2 linked regions of the Danio rerio genome follow. The protein of the gene in region 1 binds, or shares a complex with, the protein of each later gene. Links are inferred from orthologs where the notes say so. Each region holds a gene or a part of one and is shown on either strand. Other genes may lie near its edges.

Evidence for each region.
Region 2: gtf2h5 (region 1) and polr2b share a complex: the UniProt entries of both Homo sapiens proteins name them as parts of the TBP-based Pol II pre-initiation complex. The link is inferred for Danio rerio from reciprocal best matches to the Homo sapiens genes GTF2H5 and POLR2B.

The regions. Positions count from the first base shown.
Region 1 is NC_133195.1:28,728,729-28,733,096, reverse strand, and holds gtf2h5 (general transcription factor IIH subunit 5), read left to right. Parts: upstream 1-1,537; 5' UTR 1,538-1,655; exon of another isoform or gene 1,656-1,681; intron 1,682-1,813; 5' UTR 1,814-1,878; coding exon 1,879-1,913; intron 1,914-3,491; coding exon 3,492-3,672; 3' UTR 3,673-4,077; downstream 4,078-4,368. Other genes in the region: protein SERAC1, read left to right, coding at 292-428. UniProt on the Homo sapiens protein: Component of the general transcription and DNA repair factor IIH (TFIIH) core complex, which is involved in general and transcription-coupled nucleotide excision repair (NER) of damaged DNA and, when complexed to CAK, in RNA transcription by RNA polymerase II.
Region 2 is NC_133189.1:58,454,660-58,458,486, reverse strand, and holds part of polr2b (DNA-directed RNA polymerase II subunit RPB2), read left to right. Parts: exon of another isoform or gene 1-375; intron 376-1,319; coding exon 1,320-1,431; intron 1,432-1,512; coding exon 1,513-1,667; intron 1,668-2,026; coding exon 2,027-2,225; intron 2,226-2,585; coding exon 2,586-2,754; intron 2,755-3,827. UniProt on the Homo sapiens protein: Catalytic core component of RNA polymerase II (Pol II), a DNA-dependent RNA polymerase which synthesizes mRNA precursors and many functional non-coding RNAs using the four ribonucleoside triphosphates as substrates.

The sequences.
Region 1 (4,368 bases):
ATTTGGGATGCACCATATTCTTCCTTGTCACCATTTGTTCATAACACAGGTGTCAAACTCAGTTCATGGAGGGCTGCAACTCTGCAGTTTAGTTTCAACCCTAATTAAACACACCTAATCAAAGTTATTGAGTCCTTCGGGCTTGATTGAAACCTACAAGTAAGTGTGTTGAAGCAGGTTTGGAACTAAACTGTGCAGAGCAGCTCGGGGAATTGAGTTCGACACCCCTGGTTTATAATGATTGTTAGTTTTAGGTACCTGGTATCACGGTTTCCTCTTTTGCTCTTTCAGATCTGGGTATTGGAGACCTCATCCAGGTGGACGTTGATCACCTCAACATCTGCAAGCCAGAAAAGAAGGACACGTTTCTTTATAAGCGTACTTTACAGTTTATTCAGGATGCTCTTGGGGGACGTAGAATTAAGTGAAAGTCTTTACAGTTTCAATTGCTTTCTTAAGGATTTAAGCATCACTTTTTAAAAGATAGTGTTATCTATGACTGCCATGAAGGAAGGAAGTTTTACAATTGCAACTGGAGCTTTTTGGACATCTAAACTGTAATGTCCTGTACATTTGAAATACCACTGACATTTCACTTGTATTGTTATTATTATTTATGCTTGCCATATGAATATGTATTATGGTAAAATCCTTGTTTAACTTTTAATGTTTTACCCCTTCAAAGCCTTGTACTGTATATCATTTCAGAGTAATTTGAATGAGCACTTGTTAGCATTTATTTTAACTAGACATAACAAAAAAAAGGATTATCAAACTTAGTATGTTTACTACATCACTGCACATTTTTAAACTCAGTTTTATTTATAATATTTATTCTACTTGAACAAAATAGACATGCTAATGAAACCTTGCCTTGTTTTTTTTGGTTCACCAGCTTTCTTTCTACTACCTCAGACACACAAGTACTGATGTTGCTGTAATTGCCAATACATTTGTACTAATTCACTGACCACAGTACTTTATTTTGCCAAATCTTTGTCATGTGAATAAAGTTTTGAATCCAAACTTTCCTCTCCAAGAATAAACACTTTCACTGTAAAGCAGGGCAACACCGTGGCTTGTCCTGGATGGGTAAGTTGCCATTTCTGTATGGAGTTTGCATGTCCTCCCCGTGTTGGCATTGGGTTTCCGGGTGCTCCGGTTTCCCCAACAGTCCAAACTGCAAAGACATGCTCTATAGGTGAATAGTATATGAGTGTGAATGGATGTTTCCCAGTTAGGTTGCAGCTGGAAGAGTATCCGCTGTGTAAAACATATGCTGGAGAAGTGGGCCCTGATGAATAGAGGTACTAAGCCGAAGGGAAATGAACGAATGCACAGTAGCGGTATTGTAATGCAAATGAGTACTCTAATCTCTATGACACACTATTGTAACCGTTAAATAAAAAGGGATTAGTATTCGCAATTCAAAACAGATATGTCCCAAATAATCAAAGTCTTCAGGATTGCGAGAAACTTCCAGGTGGGTGTTGTACTTTTCTGTCAGGGTATGAGAGCAGTCAAATAGGATCTGAACTGCGCTCCAAGCCAGCAGAGGGTAGTGGAGTTGACTGGTCCAATACTAGTCGGTGAGTAGAGGAAAACCATTGTTTCTAAACGCTAAATAGTTTTCTGACACCAGTCACTGCAACAAAGTAAAGTGGCAAAAGACAATAAGAATGTTAGTGTGTATGTTTTAACGCTGTCTTTAAAGTATAGGTTTAAGAGCTGTAAACAAAATGTAAAATATTTGTAAGGACTAACGTCATTCATGGTGGACGGCTTTGTTGCTATTTCGTTTTCTCTCATACAGAGCTTTTACTGTACCTTTACTGAAGCAGCAGTAAGTTACGTTAGTGTTAACACACCCCGTCCAAAATGGTCAACGTGTTGAAAGGAGTTCTCGTTGAATGGTAAGTTTTACATACCACTGCCATTTAAAGCTGCACTGGTCATTTTACCTCAATACAACATTTAAACGAGAATCCAACGGTGGGTTTATTTAAGAAATGTGTTAAATCTAATGTGCTTACACACAATGTGGATTCATATCCGATTAGTAGAAAATAGGGCTGCACAATATATCGTTTCAGCATCGATATCGCAATGTGATCACAATGTTGAGTCTGGATTATAATTAATCATTTTGCTATAATGATTCGTTTTATTGACTTGTTTATAAAAAACAAAGACTATGCAGTATTATTTTACATCTGATTATTTAATTCATGTGTACCTGAATACATTTAGACTCTTCAGAAAGCAATAAAATGCTGTTTATTTAATTAGCAATTTTTTCTTTATTGAATTCATCTATGCTTGTAGGTTGCTTGTTATATGTTATGAATCATCCCAATCCGTCTAAAATTATAAATTATTTACAAACCGTTTTTTAACTAATCTGGTGAAATTGTATTCATATTGCAGTGTATATCACGGAATAAAAATTATTGCAATGTATATTTTTTCCAATATTGTGCAGCCCTAGTAGAAAAGTACTTTTATTTTACATTTTTACGCCACTAAAGCAATGTTGCTGAACAACTGTTCACTAACGTAAACGTTACTTGCGAGAATATAATTACAGTCGACAGATGGTTAACATTTATTCACTGTTAAACGGCAAAAATCAGTTCAAAGCATTTGAAAAATGTGGAGAAAATATTAAAAAGTCTTTATTCACATGGCTAATCTTTAAAAAACCTACGCGTTTCGGAAAAGAACAGTTCTTTGTTTTATAAAGGCAAAAAACTGTAGTTTTTTTATGTGAATAAAGGCTTTTTAAAATTTTTTCCATATTTTTCGAGTGCTTTGGATGGATTTTTGCTGTTCATTTTGATGAATCCCTTACCCAAAGAGCACCGATTATATAAGCTACCCCTGAGCACGTTTTGTTAGATTTTGGATTTATTCACTGTTACCTGTAACTAAAAACTTTTTCTTTACCACGAGGCAACATCCTTAGCACGGTATCGGATCAGTTAAACTTTCAAATTGTGCAGTATTTGTGAACTTAATTCTGTTTATTGTCACAATTTCGATGGTTTACTTCCTGAGAAGCAACTGAAAATAATTGAGGTAAAGTTATTTTTTTATATTTGTTCATTTTAAAGCTCTCTATATCGTTTACCACGCTAATTTGAATATGGGGTCTGAAATTTAATTTAAGTATGACTTCAAAACAACATTAGCACGATTTAACTGACAGTGAACAATGTTGTACTTTGATAGTTATTGGCTGCTTATATGATTTTCCTATTTAGAATTTGTAAAGAATACTTTTCTGAAATTATATTATAAGGAGAAAATCTGAATATGCAGGATATAAAACCCACTTTACCTCAATCTGAAAAAAGCCAGATGTCAATAACATCAAATACAGGCTTGACAAACCTCTATTCTTAGTGCACCTTTAAAATAAAAGTCATGCTCTAGTAGTAGTGCACCTTCATATATAATTCTCTCTCTTTTTTTTTTTAAATGTGACCCAGTGATCCAGCTATGAAGCAGTTTCTACTATATCTGGATGAGACGTCAGCTTTGGGGAAGAAATTCATCATCCAGGATTTGGACGACACGCATGTTTTCATCTTAGCTGAAGTTGTGCAGATTCTCCAGGAGCGAGTAGGAGAACTGATGGACCAGAATTCATTTCCCATCACCCAGAAATAAACATCTGAACCTTGACAGCAAGACCCTTCAGTCTGTGGGAGCAGATGGATGTGGAGATTCTTTCAGCACAATTGCACAAACACAGATGAAGCTGAAATATAGAGACGATGACTGCCTACAGGGATGATGATGTGTATTCTCTTTGGTTTAGTTTGACTGCAAAGTTCTTTTATCTGAAAAAAGTATAACTTTAAACTGTTTATGTTTTTAAAGACATATGTTTAAAAGACAGAGGCTGTCCTGTGTTTTGAAAGTATTGTTTTACATGCAAGATGGCATTGCCTACAAATAGTTATGTTTTACTGAAAGTATATGTCATACTGAATGCAGACGGGTGATGTCTGTGATTTAACTTCATGCATAATATGCTTAGTGTCAAATAAACAGAAGAATTCAACTAAAGTATTTAATGTGTTCTTATTCATTTGTCTCCTCAAAACATAGGATTTAATTTGATCTACTCTGTGGTATTGCCAGTTTGTGTAGGTTTAGGTTCCCTTCCTGTTTATGTTCTACAACACCAATACAAGCCTTCAATATTTGATCCTGAAACTGGTAAAAAGATTTTACCTTGTGGTGAAGGGAAAATTAAAAGAGTGAACTGCATTCGATTTGAAAAATATCCAGCATGTCTTAAAGAGGAAGTAAAAGTGGTGTGATGCACTCATGGAAATACCTGAGAGTTGACCTAAAATG
Region 2 (3,827 bases), on another chromosome or scaffold:
GGAAATGAACAAAACAACAGGCCTAACACAACATAAGATTAAAACATGAAAAAATGATCAGATAGTAACTTTGGTCAATTTTCCTGACGGATAAACTGAGATCAGGCTGGATAAACAGCTCTCTGTAATATTTCAGCATGCTTTCACTTTCGCATTTACTGGTAAGAATGACATCTCGCCCTGCTCATCATTCTCTCTTCATATAGCCGTATATATGGCCATTACACGATCATAATACACTGTGATATAGTCTGGGTCGTTGTTTTGTTTTCTCACTACAATCGATCCGCTCAGTAGGGCAGAGACCGTCTCATTCAGGCGATCTCGGACTGATTGATTTGGCGCGGATGCGAGCGCAATTGCTGGATATATGCCAAACAAACTAACGGGGGAAACGAGACAGATTCCGAAACAAACATCTATGTGTGAAAGCACCGTAAGATTGTATTTGCACACAAATGACAGACAGTCGCAGCACGCAGCTCTGGGTCGATCTGGCAGGCAACAAGGCGGCACTGTACACTGACCCGAGCGTCTCGCACGCTGGCCCCGGGCCATCGGGCAGTCTTATTGTCGAGCCCTAAATGTTTAAGCCCTGCCGACGGGTCTCTTGCATCTGCACAGTTTAACAAGCACTTCAGCAAGCGTGTTTTTCCCGCTTGGCAAGCCAAGCTGGCGTGACATTGGGGGCGTGGCAGCATCAACGATTCTAGTTTTTGATTCGATAATCGAAATTAAGCATAAATTTCGATCGATTTGGATTTAAAATCGAAATCGTGACACCCTTAGTGTCCTTTATGTTGTCCTTTTTGTTTTTTTATATTAATAAAATACTGTACCACATTAGTTGGGACTTTTTTGAGTACTGGTATTTCCTTTTCTTTATGATTTGTAATATAGCTTCTTAATTGTAAGTATCGAAAGAAATCGCTTGACGACAACATAAATTTGTCTTTAAGATAAGAAAATCAGTGCATAGTGTTTTCATTAAATAACTGATCAATTATCATAAGACCCTTATCCAATCATGTTTTAAAAGTGGCGTCCCATTTGGATGGTAAGAACTGTATTTTTTTCTCTCTAGACATTTCAAAAGAACAGAGCAGTAATCACAATAGCATGATATTTATATCTGTCTGAATCCCCATGACTTTGCTCATTCTGGCCAATGAGCTTCGATGTTAACTGGACAAGAGACGATGTGTGGAAATCAACAAACACACTAGCCAACCTGACGAAACCCAGTGGCAAACGACTAAATCTTTAAGTAGGAACAGCATTTGTTGCAGTGTGTAATGCATGCGTGTTTATTCCTTCAGCGCCACTAAGATCTTTGTGAACGGCTGCTGGGTGGGCATCCACAAAGACCCCGAGCAGCTGATGAACACGCTGCGCAAGCTGAGGAGGCAGATGGACATCATCGTGTCTGAGGTGCTGCTCTGATCTCTCGATGGTATCCTGCTCTCTATAGTGCGCAGCAGCTGAGCGTGGTGTTGTTCTGTGGGTCTGCAGGTCTCCATGATCAGGGATATCCGCGAGCGAGAGATCCGCATCTACACTGACGCCGGCCGCATCTGCAGACCCCTGCTGATCGTGGAGAAACAGAAGCTGCTGCTGAAGAGACGACACATCGACCAGCTCAAGGAGAGAGAGTACAACAACTACAGGTACATCTGCGCTTTCCTCAAGTCATATTTAGAGGAGCAAGGACATTTCCTTCTGGAGGAAGTCTGATTTGTTTTATTTGGGCTAGAATAAAAGCAGATTTTAATTGTTTTGAAGTCATGTTAAGCTCAATATTATTCGCCCCTTCAGCAATATTAGTGTTGGATTGTCTCCAGAACAAACCACTGTTATACAATGACTTGCCTAATTACCCTAACTTTACCCTAATTACCCTAGTGAAGCCTTTACATGTCACTGTAAGCTGAACACTAGTGTCGTGAAGAATATCTAGTCTAATATTATGTGCTGTCATCATGGAGAAGAGGAAACACATCAGCTATTAACTATTGTGTGTGTGTAGTTGGCAGGATCTGGTGGCCAGCGGTGTGGTGGAGTACATCGATACACTGGAGGAGGAGACTGTGATGCTGGCCATGACCCCTGATGACCTCCAGGAGAAGGGCGTGGCTTATTGCTCCACATACACGCACTGTGAGATCCACCCGTCCATGATCCTGGGCGTCTGCGCATCCATCATTCCCTTCCCTGATCACAACCAGGTACTGGCCCATGTAGACGTATGCCCATGAGGGTTGGCTATCCAGAACCGGTCCAAAACACTATGAATGAGTGATTTGCATCTGATTGGCTGTTGTCATTTTCTTGTCTCGACTCTGTCCATTAGTGTTTATCTTCAGCTGTGGGCTCAGCTTTAGAACCCTTCAGCCTATAGCAGAGCAGCAACTGTTCAGTAGGCAGGGCTAAAGAGAGTAAAGCCCCTGATCTGATTGGTCAAATTTAGATAAACAGCCAATGCAAAACCTAAATGTAATGTATCGCACATATGCATATACTATTATCACGATCTGTTGTGCAGCCCTATAATACACGTCCTATAAGATGCTCTCTCTTGTCCACAGTCTCCCAGAAACACCTACCAGTCTGCTATGGGGAAGCAGGCTATGGGAGTGTACATCACTAATTTCCACGTGCGGATGGACACGCTGGCACACGTGCTGTATTACCCACAGAAACCGCTGGTCACCACACGCTCCATGGAGTATCTACGCTTCAGAGAGCTGCCCGCAGGTAAACACTGCAGAGTAGAGCGTGTGTGTCCACAGCACTGGAGATAATCAGTTCATCTTACCTTTGTAACTATTACTGAGGATTATGGAGAAGTCTGACACGGAGAGTGTGGGTGGGACTGAGCTTGATAATATAGTGATGTCAGTGATTGGCTAATACAGTGATGCACACAGGGATTGGCTGAGTGGGAGGGGGAGGAGTCTCTGTCAGAGGTTTATTTGTAAGAACTTCATTCATTCATTTTCTTTTTGGCTTAGTCTCTTTATTAATCAGCGGTCACTACAGCGGAATGAACCGCTAACTATTGCCAAGTGAATAATTGCATTCTAAAAAGTGCATTTCTTTTCAATGCGTAGACATTAAAGAGTTTCTGATTATAATAAATTGTCATAATTAAATTAAGTTAATGTATCAATTTTTAGATATTTGGAAAAAACATGTAAAAATAGCCACATTTTTATTTATAGAATGTTTATATATATGAGCAATATCACATGAGTAGCAGTGCGATATGGCTGTAGATGCGCGGCCTCGTGCCTTAGTGGCCCTACCACTAAGCCGATATACAGCCATATTGCACTGCTACTCGTGTGATATTGCGTTTATACAACAGTTTGACGGCATAATTGCGTATATAAAAACAAAATCAAACATGGAGAGTCTCAAAAACCCTTTTGTATGAGGAACTACTTTCTTCCACATTGGATTAAAATCATAAGCTGACAGTTAAACAGCTGAGCAAGCATCTTTTACACTGTAGATCTGTAGTGTCTGTTTTCTGCTGGCTGTATGTGGGCGGAGTAATACACAAAGGGTAAAGAGGCTGTAGGAGTTCTGATATTGCAAAATATCGCACGGCTGTCAGCCAATCAGATTTGAGAACCAGACAGAACTGTTGTATAAATATAAATATACAACAGTTCTGTGTGGTTATTGAATCTGATTGGCTGATAGCCGTGATATATGTAAGTAATATCAGCACCCGAAAAGCCTCTTTACCCTTTGTGTATTACTCCGCCCACATACAGCCAGCAGAAAGCAGACACTACAGATCTACAGTGTAAAAGATGCAC